Oreochromis niloticus: one gene and its partners. The protein of the gene in region 3 purifies or fractionates together with the protein of the main gene of each other region. This does not show direct contact. Links are inferred from orthologs where the notes say so. Each region holds a gene or a part of one and is shown on either strand. Other genes may lie near its edges. The genes, in order: rfc5, WD repeat-containing protein 48 and atad5a.

Evidence for each region.
Region 1: the proteins of atad5a (region 3) and rfc5 purify together in Homo sapiens (affinity purification with mass spectrometry; 4 studies listed by BioGRID and IntAct, counting the BioPlex papers as one, with this or other methods). This does not show direct contact. The link is inferred for Oreochromis niloticus from reciprocal best matches to the Homo sapiens genes ATAD5 and RFC5.
Region 2: the proteins of atad5a (region 3) and WD repeat-containing protein 48 purify together in Homo sapiens (affinity purification with western blotting; 3 studies listed by BioGRID). This does not show direct contact. The link is inferred for Oreochromis niloticus from reciprocal best matches to the Homo sapiens genes ATAD5 and WDR48.

Annotation. Positions count from the first base shown.
Region 1 is NC_031977.2:30,124,972-30,132,075, forward strand, and holds the start of rfc5 (replication factor C subunit 5), read left to right. Parts: upstream 1-4,016; 5' UTR 4,017-4,161; coding exon 4,162-4,208; intron 4,209-4,746; coding exon 4,747-4,811; intron 4,812-5,124; coding exon 5,125-5,261; intron 5,262-5,369; coding exon 5,370-5,449; intron 5,450-5,572; coding exon 5,573-5,646; intron 5,647-6,148; coding exon 6,149-6,308; intron 6,309-6,943; coding exon 6,944-7,025; intron 7,026-7,104. Other genes in the region: ksr2 (kinase suppressor of Ras 2), read right to left, coding at 1,756-1,929. UniProt on the Homo sapiens protein: Subunit of the replication factor C (RFC) complex which acts during elongation of primed DNA templates by DNA polymerases delta and epsilon, and is necessary for ATP-dependent loading of proliferating cell nuclear antigen (PCNA) onto primed DNA.
Region 2 is NC_031982.2:7,359,894-7,366,956, forward strand, and holds the start of WD repeat-containing protein 48, read right to left. Parts: upstream 3,076-7,063; 5' UTR 2,992-3,075; coding exon 2,944-2,991; intron 2,221-2,943; coding exon 2,080-2,220; intron 1,945-2,079; coding exon 1,866-1,944; intron 1,784-1,865; coding exon 1,571-1,783; intron 1,404-1,570; coding exon 1,315-1,403; intron 293-1,314; coding exon 191-292; intron 112-190; coding exon 1-111. UniProt on the Homo sapiens protein: Regulator of deubiquitinating complexes, which acts as a strong activator of USP1, USP12 and USP46. Enhances the USP1-mediated deubiquitination of FANCD2; USP1 being almost inactive by itself.
Region 3 is NC_031969.2:16,952,478-16,959,610, reverse strand, and holds the start of atad5a (ATPase family AAA domain-containing protein 5), read right to left. Parts: upstream 3,099-7,133; 5' UTR 2,716-3,098; intron 1,568-2,715; 5' UTR 1,555-1,567; coding exon 1,504-1,554; intron 1,404-1,503; coding exon 1-1,403. Other genes in the region: GTPase IMAP family member 8, read left to right, coding at 5,561-5,591, 6,053-6,775. UniProt on the Homo sapiens protein: Has an important role in DNA replication and in maintaining genome integrity during replication stress.

The DNA of each region.
Region 1 (7,104 bases), on a different chromosome or scaffold from region 3:
CCTGTTGCTTGTTGCATTCCTGTTGAGTAGAACAAGTGATACAAACCACACTAACAAAGCAACAGCATAAAAACAGTGTGTAGCACCAGTAACATTTAAAATTTTGCAAGATCTCTTTAAGGTGGGAATATAAGTTTGTGCAAGCTGCACTTTGAAAACTCTTGTTTTAAAGGATAATGTCTCTCTCAAATTCAGTGTCAATATGAAAAATCTCTGTCTTTGTAATGTAACAACCTGTCTAACAGCCTGTGGAAGACTGAAGTTAAGCATAATTTTAAAATGACAGAGAAAGTGGTGTTTCTTGCACTCCAAATACAATCCTTTAACTCAGCTTCTGAGAGAAGATTATTTTTCCTTCAACTAACGTGTCCTTTTCATACAGGTATTAGCCATGCAGCACAGTTGCTACAAACATGCTAATAATGGATGCCAAAATTTTCTGAAAAGAACTGAACACATAGCTTGGGTATATCCTAACTTTTGGTTTAGGCAAATTAAAAAGGATATCCTTACCCTTCTTAAGTTTGGAGAAATAGGTCAAACCATGACACAATCAATAAAATCTTTCTGATAAATCCATTCACAAAAATTTGTCAGGCTAATTTTACTGGTGAAATAAAAATAATACCCCATAATGCTTATAACTAGTAATCCAGTACCGAAAGCGCTTTGCAAAGCATGCAGGGAACATAGTGAACACTTATCTTCACAGTGTAGCCTGCTCATTGCTGGCAGAGCATTTGCACTTTATATATTTAGTTATTTCTTCACTTGGATTACATTCCTGTCCCCTGTCCAGCACTTGCAAACTCCATTTAACAGCTCAGACATGAATACTTTGCAATATGTTTATGTGTTATGCACAGTCTCATATTCCTGTGGGGATGAGATTAAGTGTGTGCCACTCACAAGTGATTTCTTGGTATTTTGTTAACGTAGTATCTTAATTATTCTCCCACTAGGACTTAAAGTCTGTTGATGGCGCACACAAAGACTTAGTGGTGAGTTTATGGAGACCTTATCACTTAATGGTATTTGTTTCAATCTCATGAGACATCACAATAACATTCTTATAGGCCCTAAATGCCGTGCTGTGTCTGCAGTGCTCAATAGGCTATAGTGAGTTTGCAGTGAGCTTATCGCACTTTATGGCATCTTTATGTCCTGTAACAGCCTGTCAGTGGTAAGGGGTTTATTCGACTGGTCTAAGTAGTCTCAAAAAGGGCAGCCTGATATCTCAACACACAACATGACCATTACGTAACGCAATTTACGGAATACCCCACGGGCCAATTAACGGATAACGATATTTTGTAACAATTTCAGTAATCTGCCAGCCTTGCATAACGCAGGGCCTGGCTGCGAGAACAGATGCGCAGGCTGGCATATTGCTAATGGATTGTAAACACGGGCTGCCTATAGGCCTCGGCTGCCTCAGATATTATTCTGGTGGAGAAGAGCCACCTTCTCTCCCCGCCACCTGCAGAATGCGCAAGTCTATAACAGCTCACTGCAGCCCCTTGGCCTCTTGATTTATTGCACTGCACAAAACAGATAGCAGTGGGCTTTAGCTGAAATCGTTGCATATTTATGCAGTGGCAGCAGAAAAGCAGTCTGCCGTAGAAAAGACACATAAAAATTATGCATAGTGGCCTTGAAATAAATAACAAACGGCGGCAGCCCGCCACCCCCCCATATTGATTTGGATGTAGATGCACAGCAGAAATCCGATGATTCCGCTCAAAGGGTGCTTACCTCCAGCGTTCGTATCTCTTTTTGTGTCAAGTCGTTGGATGTGGCACATTTGGTCCGTAAACCCTCCAAACTAGAAATGCTTATGTCTATCATATTTTGCACCAACTCGCACTGCTGCAAGGCTTTCTGCAAACTAAGATGCTGCTCCTCGCTTTTTGTCATCTCCTCGTTCATAGTTTTGTGAACAGTGGACGTTTTTTTCCGCTGCACTTAACAAAAAAGGAATGAATTAATTCAAAAACAAGGGGAAAAAAATATTGATGATTATTCAAGAAAGGAGCGTGGTGAAACCCACGGAACGGAGCAACCTGCAAAACGCCATGAAACGAGATGTTGAAGGTTTAGAGACGGGCTTTGAGCCGTGAGAGAGTCGACTCCATTGCAACAACAGTCCTCGTAGTTCCTGCTGTTTCATCAAGGTGTCTCTGGTTGTGGGCTAAATCAAACACAGTATGAAGATACCAAGCGGGACTACGCGGTCTGCATCCATTGGGTTCCACTTCTTTCAAATGTATGTTTGAAAAAAAAAAGAAAAAGAAGAAGAAGAAGCTGTTCAGCGCACCATAAGTAGACGCGTCGGGGAAAAGCCTGCTGGTTTTAAAGGTGCTGATGTGCGGACTGGATGCAGGTACTCCCTGTCTCCCTAGGCAGCAGCTGCATCCCGGTTCTCTCCCACCACACCGACATGTTTCCTGTCAATCAAACCCACAGCAACAGCATCGCATCGCCCAGGCACCACCGTGAGGGGCCGTTCTCGCGAGATTACAGAGCAGGGCAGAGAGCTTAATATGCTTGAAACGCCAGGCTAGGGTTAGGGACAAAACTATCCCTCTTTACATGTTTGAAACAAAGATGTCCTTTTACTGAATATGTATGATTCTATTAGTTTATTACAGGCTCATGCTGTGTGCACTCACATCCAAGACACTTATATAGCCTGCAGTCAACAGCTACAAACACTTCAAAATATTTCTAGAAAATGATTTAAATATGCTTTAAAGTTAAATGGAAGAACAAATATTCTTTTCCATTGATTCGTGTGTGACATTTAATTTTTGGCCTAGTTAGACAACTCTGTACTATGCCTGATGATGTTTGCATGTGAGTGGAATCTTCTGTTTTTTATTGTGTGCCTTATCTCATTTCTTCTTCCTCTGTGCTCAGTTTTAATTTGCAGAAGAGATCTTGATCACAGTGAAGCTCCTCAGTTAGAATATAGGTTATAATGCAGACATTACAAATAGAAACTGGATTGTTCAAAAACAGCAATTGCAAAAAAAAAAAAATATATAAACCAAACATTAAGGATTGAATGCTGTCAAAATGCAGGCTGTGATATTAAATCATTATCCTTGACTGATGCAGTATAATGCAGCCTGGGAATCAGGATGCTTTGGAGGTTTCCAGCAACAAATCTGAGAAGTCAAGACGATTAAAGAGATAGGAGATGGTACACAAAATCTTGTGTACTTGTGTGCTCACAGCTTTTTTTCACTAACCCATGATGATCAAGAAAATGTTTCAGAGAAACCTGTTGTGTAAAGTATAAGGTTAGGTAATATTTCAAATTCAGGCTCTAGATAAATATATGGGCACACTGCACTTTTTGAGATATGGACAGATATGTGTATTTTACTGTCAGCACCATTACCAGAAGAAAATATTCCACATGTAACAGAAAATAAATGCAAAAAAATGTAGAAAACATTTCTGACACTCTTTGTCATGTTTTAAGATGGTTAAATATTAAAAGACTCTATTTTGCAAGAACAATTGTGAAGCTTACAAAGATAAACTATAATGAGATTAAGATGTCAGTGTCGTATAAAAGTGAACAAACTACATCTAAGAAGGAAAGGAGTAGACTTTATTTTATTTTTTTTAAAATTTAACAAGACGTTTAGTGCAAGTGACTTTTATTTTAAAAATCAAGATAGCCAGAATACTTTTTTTCTTTTGTTTAAATTGGTGATTCAGACTTCAGTACCATATGCCATCTTTAAAGACTTCTAGTTCTTGCTGTTGGATAAAAAAACAAAAAATCTACTGCTGAGTTTGATTTTCATTTTCACTGATTAAGGAAAGGAATTGTTCAAAATGGGAGAGACAATATTTAAAAATGAAAGAGGAGACATATACCTTCGTTTTTATGATGTTTGATATTGTGTATCTTTTATTGTTACAATTTCTAAATCCCGTTATTACTTTTTACAGAAGAGAACGAGTCACCGATACTCCGCCCATGAAAACGACAATGTGATTTCATTGGTTGTACGTGGTGACGTGTGACGTACGTTTTGTTTGCGGAGCGCGCCAAACAGGGCCATCAACAGTAGTAATCGCAGTGGCTTAAACTCTGGAACCCTTTAGCTCAGCTTGGCGTAAAATTCACGCTTGGTAGGATACATGGCTTCTACAAGTAAAGCGCCGCTACAGACCAGAAATTTACCATGGTGAGCTGAAAGTCGCTGTTTATCACAGAATGGTTCAAAAAGTTATTGCTAGCTAGCTAACATGCCTACTGTCAAGCTAGCTGCTCACTGCACTGAGTAGACTGATGCATTCTGTGAACTGATAGCTTTATGTACATTTAGAAATGACGTTAGTTATTACGCATATTTGTAAAATGGAAGGAAATGAACTTATCTTCAGTTCGGCTTACATAAATCTTATCAGTCCATCAAGCATTAACATGGTGCCACTTCAGCAACAGGTTAACCGAAAACCTGCAGCTTCTGACTGCGGTGAAAGTGCTGTAAGGTTGACGTTTTGTTTATAATAAAGGGTGATATTACGAAAAAAAATAAGGATGCCGAACTAAAAAGTGGGCATCTGTAATGGGATATGTCAACGTTTGTCAGCGCTTATCATATGTATCCGTAGACGTTTCAATAATTTGCTTTAAAATTCATTCGAGGTTGCTTATTTGCCATGCTGTAAACTCAGTAGTTATCGCAAGTATGAATGCGTGTGTGTGTTTTCCTGTTTCAGGGTTGAAAAATACAGACCACAGACACTTGATGATCTGATTTCACACAAAGATATTCTGAGCACTAGTAAGTATGTGGACTGCCAGAATAACAGTACTATAAAACTGTATAACATGACACTTATGGATAAGCAAACTACTTTTAAACCTTAATAAACTGATAAACTCAATGCTATCTGTCAGTGTTTTTGACTCCTGAGCTTGTTTACTGTGGTTATACCGTCACTGTCATTAATGAGTCATGGTACTGAGTCAACTTGCTTAAAACTTTTGTGTTTCAAATTTATAGAACTATTCAAGGGGGGTGCATATGTGGATTGTTAAAGAAACGTCGGTCACTTGTATTTAAACTGATTTTCATTTGTTCTTTTTATTTCCAGTCCAAAGGTTTATCAGTGAGGACAAGCTTCCGCACCTTTTGTTCTACGGCCCACCTGGAACGGGAAAAACCTCAACCATACTCGCTTGTGCCAGGCAGCTGTACAAAGAGAAGGAGTTCAACTCTATGGTGTTGGAGGTATGTTACAACTCCTCATTAGAAGATTTGGATTTGCTGAATTGTAAAGGTTTTTTAACTTGTAACTCTGCCATTTTACATTAAAATATAATTAATTTTGCTTTATAGCTCAATGCATCTGATGACAGAGGTATTGATGTAGTACGAGGTCCCATTCTGAGTTTTGCCAGCACCAGGACCATCTTCAAGTAAGACTAAAACACTTATAGAGATTTTGATCAGAAATAAGTGTTCTCAGTACTTTTACATGCAGTTAAGAAGTGCAGTGGAAATGTAAGCTGCTGCCTTTTTTTATTTATCTTGTCCTTCAGGAAGGGCTTCAAGTTGGTGATACTAGACGAGGCCGATGCCATGACCCAGGATGCCCAGAATGCATTGCGTCGAGGTAAGCCATCTGTTCGTTCAGGCACTACCCACTGTGAGGCACACGGCTCAGTGAGCAGGCAATTTGGCTGCTGCTGACTTACAGTGTATCTACTTTTAAACCTGGATATTTATTTAAAAAGCTTTGCTTTCCAGAAGAGTGGAAATAATTATTGAATTTAACTGTAAAATATTTTGTAAATTTAGTCCAACCTGTGTTTTTCTAATAATGTTTCCATATTTCATTTATAAAGCATCTATTGCTGTGCAGTGCTGTTTTATAGTTCTAAATAGATGCATGGTGAAGGAACAGTGGATGGTATTATTAGTATATTACTGTCAATTCTAAATTCTCAATGAGGTGGTTTACGAGTGTCCTGCACAATCTTAGCAACATTTAGCAAGTACTTAGGATAGATTATTCAAAAAAGTGGATTTTTTTTTTTTATTGACTAAGATGTTGCCAGAATTTACATTTTAAACTTGTTTCCCTGCTTTCATCCCACCCTTGCTCTCTGTCTCAGTCATTGAGAAGTTCACAGAAAACACTCGATTCTGTCTCATTTGCAACTACCTGTCCAAGATCATCCCCGCCCTGCAATCTCGCTGCACCAGGTTCCGCTTTGGTCCCCTTTCGCCAGACCAGATGATCCCTCGGTTGGAGCACGTTATCCAGCAGGAGAAGTGAGTTAATGTGTGAATGCTTTCTCTCCACTTACTGTTGTTTTTTTCGTTTTTGTTTTTACATCTCATTGAATTATTCCCAGAATTGCTAATGAACTTGACAAATGTATTTGTACCTGTTGGCCTCCACTGGGCTCCGCTAGTCTGCCTATAGTGAGAGAAATAATTATTTGATCCCCTGCTGAATTTATAAGTTTGTTCATTTCCTTCTAAATGAACATTCTCTATTTTTATGGTAGTTTAGAGACAGACATAATACCAACCACATTAAAGGTTGTTTAAAATCTAGAGTCTTTGTTCTTATGTTACGTTTCTGTTGGGTAATTTTTAGAAGTTTAGGGCTTCTCTGTGTGTTTGAAAACAGTTTAAATCAGGGGGCAACATCAACCCTGTCCTCTCAACTGTACCAAGCCCTGAAAAACCAACAAATACCACAATAGGAAATGAATTTTCTCATTGTTTCACATTTATTGGTACATGTAACTTGAGATGGAAGAAATTAATGAACGGACTTGGAACTATTTTTGATTGCTCTATTTATTAAATGTCATCAGTTATGTGTTCATGTCGCAAGTTTTAATTTAACTTTGATATGATTTAAAAATAGTTGATTATGTCATTACTTTTTGTGACAGTATTGACATCACGCCAGATGGAATGAAGGGTATCGTGACCTTATCAACAGGTGACATGAGAAGATCGCTCAACATACTGCAGGTATGGCCAGAAGTTCATCATCGGCTCTGTTTAAGATGTGGATGTCATATTCAGTGTGACCGTTTTAAAACAGGCAAAA
Region 2 (7,063 bases), on a different chromosome or scaffold from region 3:
ATTGACCTGCAGGGCCCACACCCCTTCGTCGTGCACACGGTAGGTGGCGATGCACCTCTGCTGGCCGAGGGACCAAAGGCGAATGGTCCCATCTGAACTGCCTGATAGGCACTGTGGGGAGGACCAGTGACTTTTAGATTCTGAAACTTTGCTCTTTGGCAGCCGCGGCATTTTAGATCATTTAACTCACCTGAGTGCCGTCTCGATTCAGCAGCAACGATTTGACGTTGTCCGTGTGACCTTTTAGCTTCATGAGCTTAGCGCACGTTCGAGGATCCCACACTCTCAGAACCTGAAGAAAGACACAAGAAGGGTAATGACAACAATCGTACTGGGCTAAAACAAAGCAAGGTACGCACTCAATTACACCATTCATGCATTTTCTTTATATTAAATTTTTGAAGCAGTCTTTATAGTTTATAATATCCACAGATTTGTGACAGCCTAATGGAAATGCTTTAAGCATATCTGAACAGAAACCAAAGGTCAGTGAAGAACTTGTATTATCACTTGCTTACAAATTCTTAAGAGAAGTTAGAGAGAGAAGTTTTCTTCTAATAGCCATTTTCCTGAAGCCATGTAACCTACATAGAGCTGAAGACTACAACTTAGAATATGAAAGAACTTTTTACTGTTTTGCGTTTTAAGAAATTAGTAAAAATAAGTTAACAAGGCAATTACTAGATTATAGTGTAGTAATTCATTCTCTACTGTTCAGGTTCAAGGTTTTGAAAAAACTGAACTCAGTGAATGGAAGAAGGCTAAAAAGGCTTTGTTAAGGCCTGAGGTTTATTTTGAAATCTGTCAACTAGACAAAACTGTGAAGCTACAATTTAACATCACAAATGATACCTGGATTACAGAGCAACGCTTAAACTATGCTTTGAAGTTTAAAAGGCAATAACAATTGTTCTTTATATCTTGACGCTGGTCTAAGCAACTTAGAGATCATGCCATGAAAACCTGAAATTTAACAAATTATACATCACCCCTAAGACAATTATGAGCATTTTAGGGACCCAAACAGGACTAAGAGATGTGTAATAATCCACAGAGACCCTAAAAACCAATTATAATCACTGAATGAGTTACCATTCAGTGATTATAATTGGTACCCGTGGCGCTCCTGAGAGCTGAGTTATTGAAGCTTAGAGTCCTTTTAAAAGTGATTGTAGTTAGAGAGACAGATTGTTGCTCAGTGAAGCTGTTTATGTCTCAGTATTTTCAAAAATGTAACACAACTGAAAGTTCGCATTTATTCCTTAGTGTAAACACTGGGCACTGTGTAAATCTGTCCATCTGTGTGTCACAAACCTTTTCTGTGGATCCTGATACAATAACCGTGCCCATCTGGTTCATAGCCAGACTGTAGATTGAGTCCTTGTTCCCACTCAGTGATGAAGCTGTTGGAGACAAAATATACTAAGTCCAAAGGTACAGACTGACTTTGACATAAACATATCAGTCATGCTAAATACAAATTACACTCAGTACAAATCACATCTAATCTAAGCTTCTGTCCAGAGGACAGAAATGGATACTAGTGTCAGACTGCAAAATCTTTACTTACTGGTGACAGTGTTGTTGGAAGCAGTGAGTGCTGTTAGTGTGTTCACATCCCAAAGAAAGATCTGCCTGTCCAGACCTGCTGATGCTACCAGCTCTTTGTCCTTAGCGTAAGCCAACGCTTTCACGTAGTCCTTATGTGTTCGTAACGTTGACATACAAAACCCTTTGTGTGCGTTCCATACTTTGACTGTTGTATCCGATGAGGCAGATATCACTGAAAGCAAATTTTTTTAATCAGAAACGGGGGGTTCAAAATAAAATGTTGGGTGAACTGAACAGCTTAAAAAAAACCTCACAAGTTTTTCCATTGCAACAGAGGACTATGTCATTAACCCAGTCTGTGTGATGCTCCATCGATGCAATGTACGGGTCCTGCTATGATAACAAGAGAGGACAAGGACAGTTAAGACGGTCTTAGGCATGGGATTTGAGAAATGCATACTAAAGCAGCTGCCTTATGTAAAATGAGTTGACTATTTTAGCATAATGGAGCAGGGCAAGAAGCTGTACTTTGTGCTGGTAGACGCTCCATATCCGGATGATGGAGTCCCTCCCTGCAGTGAAGAGCCGGTTCAGAGCAGGGTCGAGCTGGAGTGCATTCACCCCGTTTCGATTGTACTTCTCCACCTCATCTCTAATGACATATGATACCTGGAACACAGAGAGGAGAATGGGCGCTGGGCTCAGACTCCTAATCTCGACCTGTTTTGCTTTGGCCCACACAACACACCCACCCAACACACCCACCCTTTAAGCTCTAACGTGCTAACACTTGTATAACGTGAACTTGCACTCCAAGGACCTGCAGAGTTAACGAGACAAACACAGAGCTTAACTAAATGTCACACACACTGGCATATAGTGCAAACCGGTTTCACTTTAACAACAAGGAAAGTGCATAATTTTAATGTTTATTTTTACGGCAGCTGAGCATACTGGCAACGGTTCACGACAGACCTGCCTGGACGCGTACGTTTCACTAGCAATTAGACGGAGCCCGGATACAGTAGCTAGCTTAGCTTCCGTCAACGCCGTAACAGCTTCAAACGGCAACCAAGGAGGGGTGTTATTATTTTGTACTGACAGGCGATATCTGTAGTCATCTTATAAAGTATTTTACACTTGCTCGTATGAAAAAAATGTTTGCAAAAGCATGTAATCATTTGGAAGCGACCGTTAGCACATGACGCTAACACCTCACGTATGCTAAGCTAGATAGGTTAGCCGGCTTGAGTCATGACACCTAACTGCAACGCTATCTTGTGCTGGTGTCTTTTACTCCCTATCGGGTGTTTGTGAAGAACCTCTTTAAGCTGGAGGCCCCGATGTTGCCGTTGTCACAAATTTACCAATAATGTAACGCCTCTAATTTACCTGTACTTTCCTCCGCCCAGCAGCATTTTGCCTGTGATGCGTGGCCATCTTGCATGTTGACAGTCAATTCATGTGATGCTACATCCGGAAAAAAAGAAAACATATGTACCTGGGCTTTCTGGGTAATGTGGTTCTACACGTTCCTAAAATTTTAACGTTAAAGGATTTTATTTTATTTATTTTTTTTGTCTTTCCCCACCACTCAATCCTGGGGATTTGTTCACTGGCGCAGTGGTGCTGTTTTGTAATACAACACCTTTGGGTATCAATCAATGTAATAATGTAATAATCAATGTAACGTAATTTATGTATTTTAAAACTAGTTTTTTGTTTTGTTTTTGGTTTTTTGAAGACATGGAATCTAAATACGTCTGTCTGTAAAGCACTTTGGGTCAACTTCTATTGTTCAAATGCGCTACTATAATTAAAACATATGTGACAGTCAACACAAAAAAGGTACTGAGACATTTTTCATAGTGCGTGTTTGATATAGCTATAATTGTTCATGAAATAATTCAGTGGGGTATATAGGGGAAAGAAAGAAGGTACCAGTTTCAATACCGTCAATATTTATATTGATCCGAGCGCCTGTATGGCACAGTGATTGGCACATCCGCGCAGTTCACCATGATGCACGCTGGACAATCGTTATGGCTGTATTATTATATAATATGCAAATATAAACATCTGTTTATATGGTCGCAGAGGAGGATTAACACAAGACCGTCCAACCGTCCAATGTTCACATTTCAAATTTCTGGGAAAACATTTGTCTAGTTTATATCTCAACCTTGAAGTGTATTTCTGCTGTGCCATAGCTATTTTGAAAAACATATCTGGGTAAACTATTTAGCAGGCCTTTTATCTTTTATTAGAATAATTTAGAAATAAGCTTAAAATATGTTCCGCCTCCCTCTATACCTTAATACACAAAATGTGATGTATGAATCCTGATGAGACAGCATTTCGGTCTATCAATCTGCGCATGTTCTGAAAATAAGAATTCTTGCTGCTCCATACAAATAGAAAGTCTATTACCGGACACTAGAGGGGGTAATACACTATCATGAGCTGCACAGGAAGTCCAAACCTCCCGGCTCTATTGGAAAGACAGAATAAAAGTCTGAGGACCGGTGGTGTGAAATCACGTCTTTTTAAGGGTTCACTCGTGCGAATCAGGTTTTGATTCCAAACCAAATCAGCTCACTGTAGGGTGCATGCAGTGAACTCGGGCTCTGGCTGTTCTTCACGGGTGTGCATGCCTCTGGTTGGTACGTTAAACCAAACAAAAGTGTTTAAAACCCGGCACGTGAAATGTGGGCTACTGTCGATTGAATACGAAAGCAGCCTCTGGTAGGAGCGTTTCCCACACACACCTTTTACAGAAATAAACTTTGAGCTTCTTCATAGTCCTCGGACTAAGGCATACTTGGTGATGTGGCAAAAGCGCAGCACACACTATGCCTGAGAGCGCCATGGGACGCCTATAGCGCGGTAATCCTCTGTGGCCCAACAGCAATCCCCCCCCTCCCTCATGCTCTCTTGCTCAAGGGCAAATCGAGACAGCGCAGCATCCTCCACGCTCAGCAGCCGGAGACTTTTCCTTCATGGGATGAAAACCGACGGGCCTCACGAATGGAAGGCAAGAGGACGAAGTTTTACTTACACCGCACCTGTGACAGCTTTCAAAATGTCCAAAATAGGGTGACTGCAGACCTCTGGCGCTTACCAAGAAGTCAGTTTTGACCGCTTTTCTCTGGATTCTGGTGACACTTTTCTTCCCCCTGGGCTGGAGTTTGGATCCACGATGAGGCGAAGTGAGCCTTGAAAAGAAAACATGGATTTTGCACGGAAGGTTTGGTTGTTTCTTCTTCTAAAACCCGAAGAACTTCATTCTGGAAACGATGCTGTAAAACTCACAGTTTCACATGTAAGTATATTCTGCACGGAATCCTCATGTGGCCGCAAAAACATGTAGCAGAAAATGATTGGCACGACTTCTTGGCTGTTTGTTTTCTCCTTTTGTTTTTAATTTTTTTATTGTATTCGCCTAAAGACAGTATGTTAACGGAGAACCTCTCATTACTTCATCAAATAAGTGTTCAGTTTCAAAAAGCTTTAGGATTAAGCTTCCTTTGGAAATTCACTTTAACGAGGTCAATGTTTCATTTGCCTTCTTATCTCCTGAAATATGAAGTGAAAAGACATTTAATGTAATGATATCCGAGGCTGTGATTATTACACATGTCATCCATGACATCACAAACCACATTTTGAAAGAAAATCTCAACAATCTTCATGTTTAATGTGACTCATGTAACTTTTGATAAGTTGTAATATTCATTTTTTTTAAAGTAATATTTGAACACTGGCAACTGGGATTCATACTCAGTTCATTATCAGCCACTGGTTTTATTAGTGGATCATTTTACCACTGTCTATATTTTTATATGCGTGTACTTTCTGTATGCTTGGCGTTTAAGTTATCTTCTGCAATTACATTGAAAGGTTTCTGCCAAAGAAGTAGGTCATCAGTTCAGGCTTTGCACCTCAGATCACAGTATGAAGCTCTGAGGGGGAGAAGGACACATAACATGGCGATGAAGAACATACAGAAGGCCCAGTTAGACTAGACGCCCAGAAAAGTATGAAAAAAAGTTGGACTCATTCCTAAACTTTTTAATAATGTTTTTAGTGTAATTTTTAATATTTCGATTGCAACATACAGCATTGTTTAATAACGCAGTAAGAAAGCAGTCTTTAGTTAAACAAATCATTTGAGTATCTGTAGTTGATAGAATTAAATAGACCATTGTATAAACACACACACACACATATAAGGAAGCATAAAGAGCTCTGTCATCGTTATAGAGCTGAAAACTACAGGTTAGAATATGAAAAGAAAAACTATCTGTAGGTTTTGAGTTAATATAAGAAAATAAGTTAGAAATGAGTTAACAACCAGATAGTGAGAGCTATCGCCTGATAAGAACTTTGTTTCCTGTTAAAACAATCTTAAAATAAAAGATGATGGAATAGATAGCAGCAGTACAAAGTCCTGCCGTAGTCTCATAAAAGATGGGGGGAAAAACAATAGTCTTCTGTGACTCCATAAGGAACTCTGCCATGTCTAATAGTCATGTTACTCCATTCATATAGGTTATAGAGCTGAAGACTACAAGTTAGAATCTGAAAGAAGCTAATACACTGTGACGTTGACTATAGTGTAGTAATTCATTCTCTACTGTTCAGGTTCAAGGTTTTCAGTTCAGTTCAGTTCATTTTTATTTCAAACATATACATTCACCAACATTTCATAAAATCATTCCATGCAGTTGTTTGAAAAGGAGTAGGCAGAAGTATATACTTATTTAGCCCTACCCCCTGAGGTTTACATCCTCATCATCTAAATTTGAACAACAAAAACGTTTACAATGCCTTCAACTTAGAACATAATAACATCAAAAAAATAATATGTATATATACATATATATATATATATATATATATATATATATATATATATATATATATATATATATATATATATATATATATATATATATATATATATATTTTCTCCTGTTCAGCTAAAACTATATTTAGATTTGCTAATTTGTAGAAGAAAATAAACATCAGTTTGACTGCTGTCTTGGGTTAATTGCAATTTCTTCATTCTTATACTTTTAAAAAACTGAACTCAGAAAATGGAAGAAGGCTAAAAAAGGCTTGATTAAGGCATATATAGAAGGTTTATATGGAAATCTGTCAACTAGACAAAACTGTGAGCTACAATCTAAGATCACAAAAAATACCTGGATTACAGAGCAACAAAATGTATCTAAATACATTTGTCGCATAATAATAGTTCTTCGTTGGTCTAAGCAACTTAGAGATTGTGCCATAAAAATCTGAAACTGAACAATCGAATATAGTTACAATTACCAAGTAAGCTGTGAGAAGATTCACAGCTTACTTGTTTTGAACTATAGAATAAGACAGTATTTTCCATTTATTTTAGGTAAGCCACACATTCCATCACCCTACATTTTATACGTTTAGATATTTTATATTTTCTAAAATGTTTCACTTTTAATGAGAGAAAAATTAGTTAATTATG
Region 3 (7,133 bases):
TTCTTTCCTTGAGAGGGTTGAGATGTTTGCTCAACAGTCAGCAGATTTTCAGTTTCAGCTTCAGCAGCATCCAAACTTTTCTCTCCTGGTTGCTTCTGCTTGCTTTGGCTCTTGACAGGCTTGGATTTGGAGACGTCTGCAGTGGGCTGCTTGAAAGCGGCCATGAACTGCTTCCTCTCGACTTCACTGCACTTAGGAATGGATTCGCTCTCAAGCACTGCCAGCTCTAGATCCTCCTCCTGGAGAACCACGTTGGATTTCCGTTTGGTAGTCAGAGAAGGAAGCTGGTGTCCAGCCTCAGCGTGAGAAGATGAGAATCTCTCTGCAGGACTACGCCCGCCTTTTTTCCGGTTGAAGATGGAAGCCAACTTTCCCACCGCTTTGCTTGGTTCTTGTTTTGGTGAGACGTGCACTTGAGCCTGGATGGTGACAGTTCGGGGTGAAACCTGAAATGATGGCAACTCCTCAGGAACCATGTTTTCTTCAGATTTGGAAATATCCAGCTCACCTGAGTTTGTTTCCTTTGTCTCATTTGTTATTTTACAGTCATCATCTTTTACTTCTTCATCTTCTCTGTCCTCTTCAGCCTCATCCTGACTCTGACTCCGTACAAAATCCTCAAAGGAGATTCTTACTGTGCTGCTGTTCAACTGAGAAGACTCATCAACATTGACCTCCATGCTTACATCACGGAGAGAGTTCTCAGTTTCTGCTTCTTTCTCCTCTGGCTCTGACTGCTTTGCCTCTTGTTGCTGCCTCTTCCTGGTATTTTGTGGTGTGGTTTTAACCTGTTTTGCTTCATACTTTGAGGGTACAATTGGAGACAACTCAATAGTGTTTAGTGCTGTTTTAAGTTCAACACATTTAGAACCATCTTCCTGATGATCAGCTTTCTCAGCCTGCTCATCCGTGATAATCTTAGTGGCATGTTTCTCTGATGTTTCTGCAGGAATGCAGCTCTCAGCACTAAGCTGGGCCAGTAGAGCTGCTGTATCGCTGCCAAGGACTCCAAAACTTTTAACTGCATCTACAGCCTGGTCTTTGCTTTCATGCGATTCTTGTACAGTCACGCAACTTGACTCCTCGGTGGAACTGACACCTTCAGCCCCCACAAGTTTCCTTGCAGCTTTGCTGGTTTTTCGACCCCGTTTCTGAGACAGCTGTTTCACCGTCTCCGGATTGGTGTGTTTTTCTGCAGAGTGAGGCCTCCCTACTTCTTTAGTTTGCTCTGGTGAGCTGGATTTCTCTTTACAGGATGGAGCCCTCTTGCTAAAGTAGTCCATGATGTTGTTGGAACGTGGAGGAGAGAAGGGTTTCTCCACAGGCTTAGGCACAGGAGAGAAATAGTTGGTGATTGTTTTGACAACAGGACTGCCACCATCTTTGCGAGATTTCTTGCAAGGCTGTAAAAAGAAAGACAAATTTAATCAGAGATAAAAATGCAAGGCAATTCAAAATAGTTGGTGCATTTGATGCGCTGCTCAAATCAGTATCATAACACACCTGGCTGTCAAAGTCCTCAATGACAGAAGGCATAGCCACAACACCAGCCATTATCTGACGAGACCTAAAGCAGAAATAAATAAAACACTGTTACACACAGCTCGCAGAAGAACAGATCAGCAAAGACACATCAGAGATTCAGGTGGAAGTTTAACTGCTTTCCTTTTCTCAGAGACCCAGCCATCCTGTCACCTGACATTTTCTAATTTTCCCTCATACTGATTCCTGCCAAGGAGCTTTCTCTCCTCCTCTGTGAGAAAATAATAACTACAAGCTACAGGTGGGACACACCAGACACTCCATAATACGATATTATCACAATACTTTTTGATTCTTTTTTTTGCCGAGTATTTCATTAACATATATTGGGATCTTTGAACCTTTTGTTAACTGCAAATGATGTCCTCAAAGTTAAACTTTGTAAATATCCAATATTTACAATAACCAACAATAAGTCAATGTTTATAAATTAGATGTAACTACTTGCAAACCTTTAACGAGTAATGGCAGTCAGTCAAAGTCAGACTGACTGCAAAAAGGTTGCCTCCTACCAGACAACCTGTGCAATCAAAAGTGGTCGTGAGTGGGCAATCTTTAGTCACCACAAGTTGCAATCAGTCGCTGAATTGGAAAAATTCACTACAATAACCAGGCGGCAACACTGGTGGCAAGAAAAAAAGGACCCGGAAAAATAATAACGGGAAAAGAAAAGGGAAAAATGAAAATCAACCATTAAAATAAAGCTATGTGCAGGTTATTTGTACTTTATATGATGCATTTGCATTCAGGTATGTTCTGGATGATTTTGCTGTTTTCCTTTTATTTTGTTGTACGGATTACGAGCGTTTATTATGTTTTGACACTGTGATAAAAGCGTGTGGTATTTACATTCAGAAATATTAATAATTACTTTAACACTAACAAAAAGGAGAACAGTGTATTTACAAGTGATAACACAAAGCCTTTCCTTTTCTTTAAAGCGGTGTTCTGTCAGCGCTTTTTGTCAATGTCACGACAGCCATGTAGAAGTTTTGCTGAAGCACTGGCAGTATGAAAAGGCTGATAAACACGAGGCTCACATGTGTGTTATTTATGATGTTCGCAAACAACAACTAAGCTGTAAAATGATATTTTTCCTGACATGGCGCCCAGGAACTTCCAGTTCTGTGCGACATAAGAGAGAGAAACCACGTAAACAAAGAAAACACTCACCGACGAAGCCGAACCGGAACTTGCTGCAAAGGTTTGTCATTCACGTCTACGACTGAGTGAACAAACAACTAAACATAAAATCATCGTGTGAGTCTGTTTGGTGCCAAAAGAAATGTGTTACTGTAAAACAACAAGCTAGCTGTCTTCGCTAGATGCTAGTCTAAAAGCTTCCCACAGATCCCAGAAGTGCTCCAAACATTTCCCGGCGTGTCAGACAAGGACATAAGAAGGCAAAGTGCTAAAATGTTACACGGATATTTTCCGAACTGCTCCGAAAACGAACCAAAGGTTCGTATTTCTTCACATACTGCGGCTGTTTCAATAGCGCGCCAGTTCGGTTGTGAATCAAGAGCGCGAAATATACGCGACCTTTGGCATGGCGCGAGTCCACCAATCACAGGGAAGAAAACCCCTCCGTCATCAGCTGTCCTAGTCCGCCCATAACAAAGATGGCGTGTGGTGTCACCTTTAACGGAGAGGTAAAATAACGACAGCTCCCTCTAGTGTGAGCATTTCACGTTTCACAAAATAAAGTAAGTTAAGTTGCAGGACATTTTATCTCCTATCCATCCACGTAAAAACTATTAAAATATAATTTTTTGTGTAAAAATTGGGAGAAAAAGCTAAAGCTGGTTGTTAAAAAAATGGTTCCAAAATATTTAAAATACAAAATAGATCAAGAAGCTGTTTTTTTTGTTTTTTTTTTAAATTTTATCCCAACTTCTTGATAACCACATTTCATGTCAAACAGTTACAATTCATTTTATAATTGTGTCTTTTATATTGTTACACCATTTTTTCGTCACATGTTATTTTAATGTTATGTTAATATGTTAAAGATCAAGAATAATAAATGTTTTTATTCTTCCCCAAAAACATATCAACAACCCTGTTACCAAAGCTCATTTAACCTGGATAAGGAAGAGGCAAAACAATTCTATGACCTGAAAAGAATGATTGAGTCACGAGGAACAAAGACCAGTCCACTTTGGTATATTTGGTGCTAATCCAGTCTTTTCAGACTCGACTGAGCGTCACTCTAACCTGCTACCCATACAACCAAAAGAAGGCAAATTAACTTCAAAGTTTCCTTCCTTTATTTATATAACTATATTCACCCAGACTTTCACAGCCTACTGTTCCACTGTCAGTAAGTTTTTCCAAGAAAACACTAATATTAGCACAGATTTAAAAACCCTGTCACTAAAGAGAATAAACAAAAATTACAAACCTAGAAGTTGATCCTGTTTTCCTGGACTTTTTCAGTGGAAGAAACATTTCAGTACTCATCCAAGTGACTTCTTCACTCTCAGCTGACTGCAGCTTTCCCCAACCTTTTAAACAGTACATTTGCATAATAGGTGAAACTTCTAACAATGTCTAACAATGGGCAGTTTCATCATTGTTTATATTTAAACTGTCATGACCATTGATCAGTGACCATGAGTACCATTCAGAGAGTTGGGGAATGGACGCAATCACAGCATTGTAAGTTGGAGATAGAGGTACACTTAAGGGGCCTAGATATCTTCCCCCTTTCATGTAAATGACCTGTGTTACTCTCTGTCCCTCTGTTCCTCCCTCTCCAGGACGTCCACATCCTCCTCATTAAAGAAATGGCAACTGCCCTGTTATATAAAATAAAGATATGTTTATGATTCTGCATTTTAATATATATTATATTATATTATATTATATTATATTATATTATATTATATTATATTATATTATATTCAACCTTTTCCTTCTTAGTCACTTAAAGTATGTTTATAAAACTGTTTATTGTTATTTATTTATTTTTACAATTTCTGCTTCCCTCTTGGCCAGAACTTTCTTTAAAAAAAAGACATTTTTTATGTCAATGACACTTTTTACCCGGATAAATAAAGGATATCTAAAAGTCTCTGCTAAAAACTGCAAAGCAGCCTCTACCTTGTGCAGCAAAGAAGCGCCAGACCATCACACTACCACCACCACGTTTGACTTCCAAAAAATGAATCTTTTTTCTCGTCAGTTCACAGAATATTACTTTATATATAATATATATAATTTTAATGTAATATTTTTTTATTTAATATATTTTGGGGCGCATGATACGAACCTTTGTGTTCTTTTTGCTCTCCCATGGACGCCATTTTTCACAGTCTTTTTCTTATTGTTGAATCACGAACTCTGACATTGACTGAGGTGAGTGAGGCCGGCAGTTCTTTAAATGTAGTTCTGATTTCTTTTATGAAATCTTTTATGCTCCAAATCTTCTCCATTTGTCGATAAGGACTCTTTTGACTTTGTAACCCTTTCCAGACTGAAAGATGTCAATGACTTTATTTCTCAGCTGTTTCTTTAGACTGTGTTATTATATGTGGTGCTGTTTGAGAGCTTTTAGCCTACTTCACTTTGTCAGACAGTTTCTCTTCCTTATGGTGATTTCTTGATTCAGCAAGTCTGGAAGTAATCAGGCCTGGGTGTGGTTAGTGAAACTGAACTAAGCTCTCACTTTGTCGCACAGGACCAGGTAGGATTGGACACCTTTCTTACCATAATAAATTAAATAATCACTGTTGTCTTTAATCATGTTACTTTAGTCTAATATCAACATTTATTTTACGATCTGAAACATTTAACAAATATGGAATGAAAACAAAAACCAAAAAATGAGGAAGAGGCAAATACTTCTCCACAGCACTGTTTGCCTGAACTGATTTTAAAAAGAATATCAAAACATTTCTAAAGTAAGTATTTGGTATTTCTCCTTTAAAAAGACTTAAGAAAACAGCTTGTAGATTATCAAAACTGGTTCTACTAGTTCTGCCTTTCCTGTTCTTTGTGTCACTTTAGTTAAACAATGGCTGATGAGCGTGCTGTTCCCAGCTCTGGTAAATATTATTCTGTTCATAAAACCTGTATATAGAAATGGAATATAAGACTTTTGATTTATTTGTTAACATAACAAGGAAACACATTTTTAATCAGACTCAGTTGTTACTGGCGGTGTCTTTGCATACAGGGAAAGTGACTCTCAGTGTTGTATCTCTGATTGTGCTTAAATTCCACAGTGTTCACTCAGTGCTTAACAGAGATATCATTTACAGATTATTCTGTGTGTGTATATATATATATATATATAAAAAAGACATCATTTTATTTCACACCTCTGTCATCTTGGCTTTTAATCTGGTGAACAAAAACTAAGCAAACATACCACTGCTATCTATTCACATTGTTTTCACAGTTTTACTTACTAATACTTGCAGTTACACAAACGTGTCCATAAATTCTGTATGAAGACACTTTTCTAGTTTTACAGTATGTAAACAATGCTGCATCTGTGTTGCAGGGCACAGTCACGACTCTCCAGAGTTGAGGATCGTGCTGATAGGTGGCAGAGAATTAACAGGACACCCCAGTTATAGGAGTCTGAGCGGCAACATCATACTGGGTCAAAATGTTTTTGACACCAGCAGAAGAAGTGCCCAGAGTGTGGCGGGGCAGCAGGAGGTTCATGGCAGACGGGTCACTGTGGTGGATACTCCAGGCTGGTGGTGGCACTATCCACTAGAAAACACCCCAAAGCTGGATCAGATAGAAATCCAGAACAGTGTCCATCTGTGTCCCCCAGGACCTCACGCCTTTCTTCTGGTCTTTCATCATAGCTTTTTCTTGCCCCAGATCTTCATGTCATCTTTAAAAGAGCACCTGAAACTTTTCCACAAGGATGTGTTGAATCACACCATCGTGCTGTTCACTGCTCAATATCCATGGAATGAAAAAAATGTAGAAACTACAATCAGTGAGTGGTCAGAAATGCAGTGGATTCTTGAGCAATGTGGAAACAGAAAACATGTCCTCTGTGTGAGTAACAGGGAGGACAGCAGTCAAGTCGAAGCACTTTTTGAGAAAATCGAGGCAATGGTCGCTGCAAACGGAGGCCGTCACTATCCCATTGATCGTGCTCATGGAAACGCTCTGAGGGAGGAAATGAAAGCAATAAGTGACAGAGCATCAAAGAGGTTTGATGAGGTGCAGACACAAAGAAGGAAACTCAGAGCACTAATTGAAGGTGAGTCAGAAAGGCCTCACATTTTACAAAATACCCACCATGATAGCAAAAAAGGTTTCATTTGAAATGAATGGGTGAATCCAGCTTCAGTATGATGTTTGTGGTCAAACACAGAATCACAGAGTTTTGTAAAACAATTTCTTTAACATAAATAATGCTAATAAATCTCCAAAGTAAAATGTCAAAGAAAATATTAATACTTATACTAAGATGTTGATGATGTGCCATATTCAGTGACCACATGATGAATATAAAATTGTGCTGTAACTGTAAACTGTAGATGAACTACAACCATTTGCCTTGTAGATGTAATGTCTCACAGCCAAATATGGCTTTCGCAGTAAGGGGAGCTCTCTTG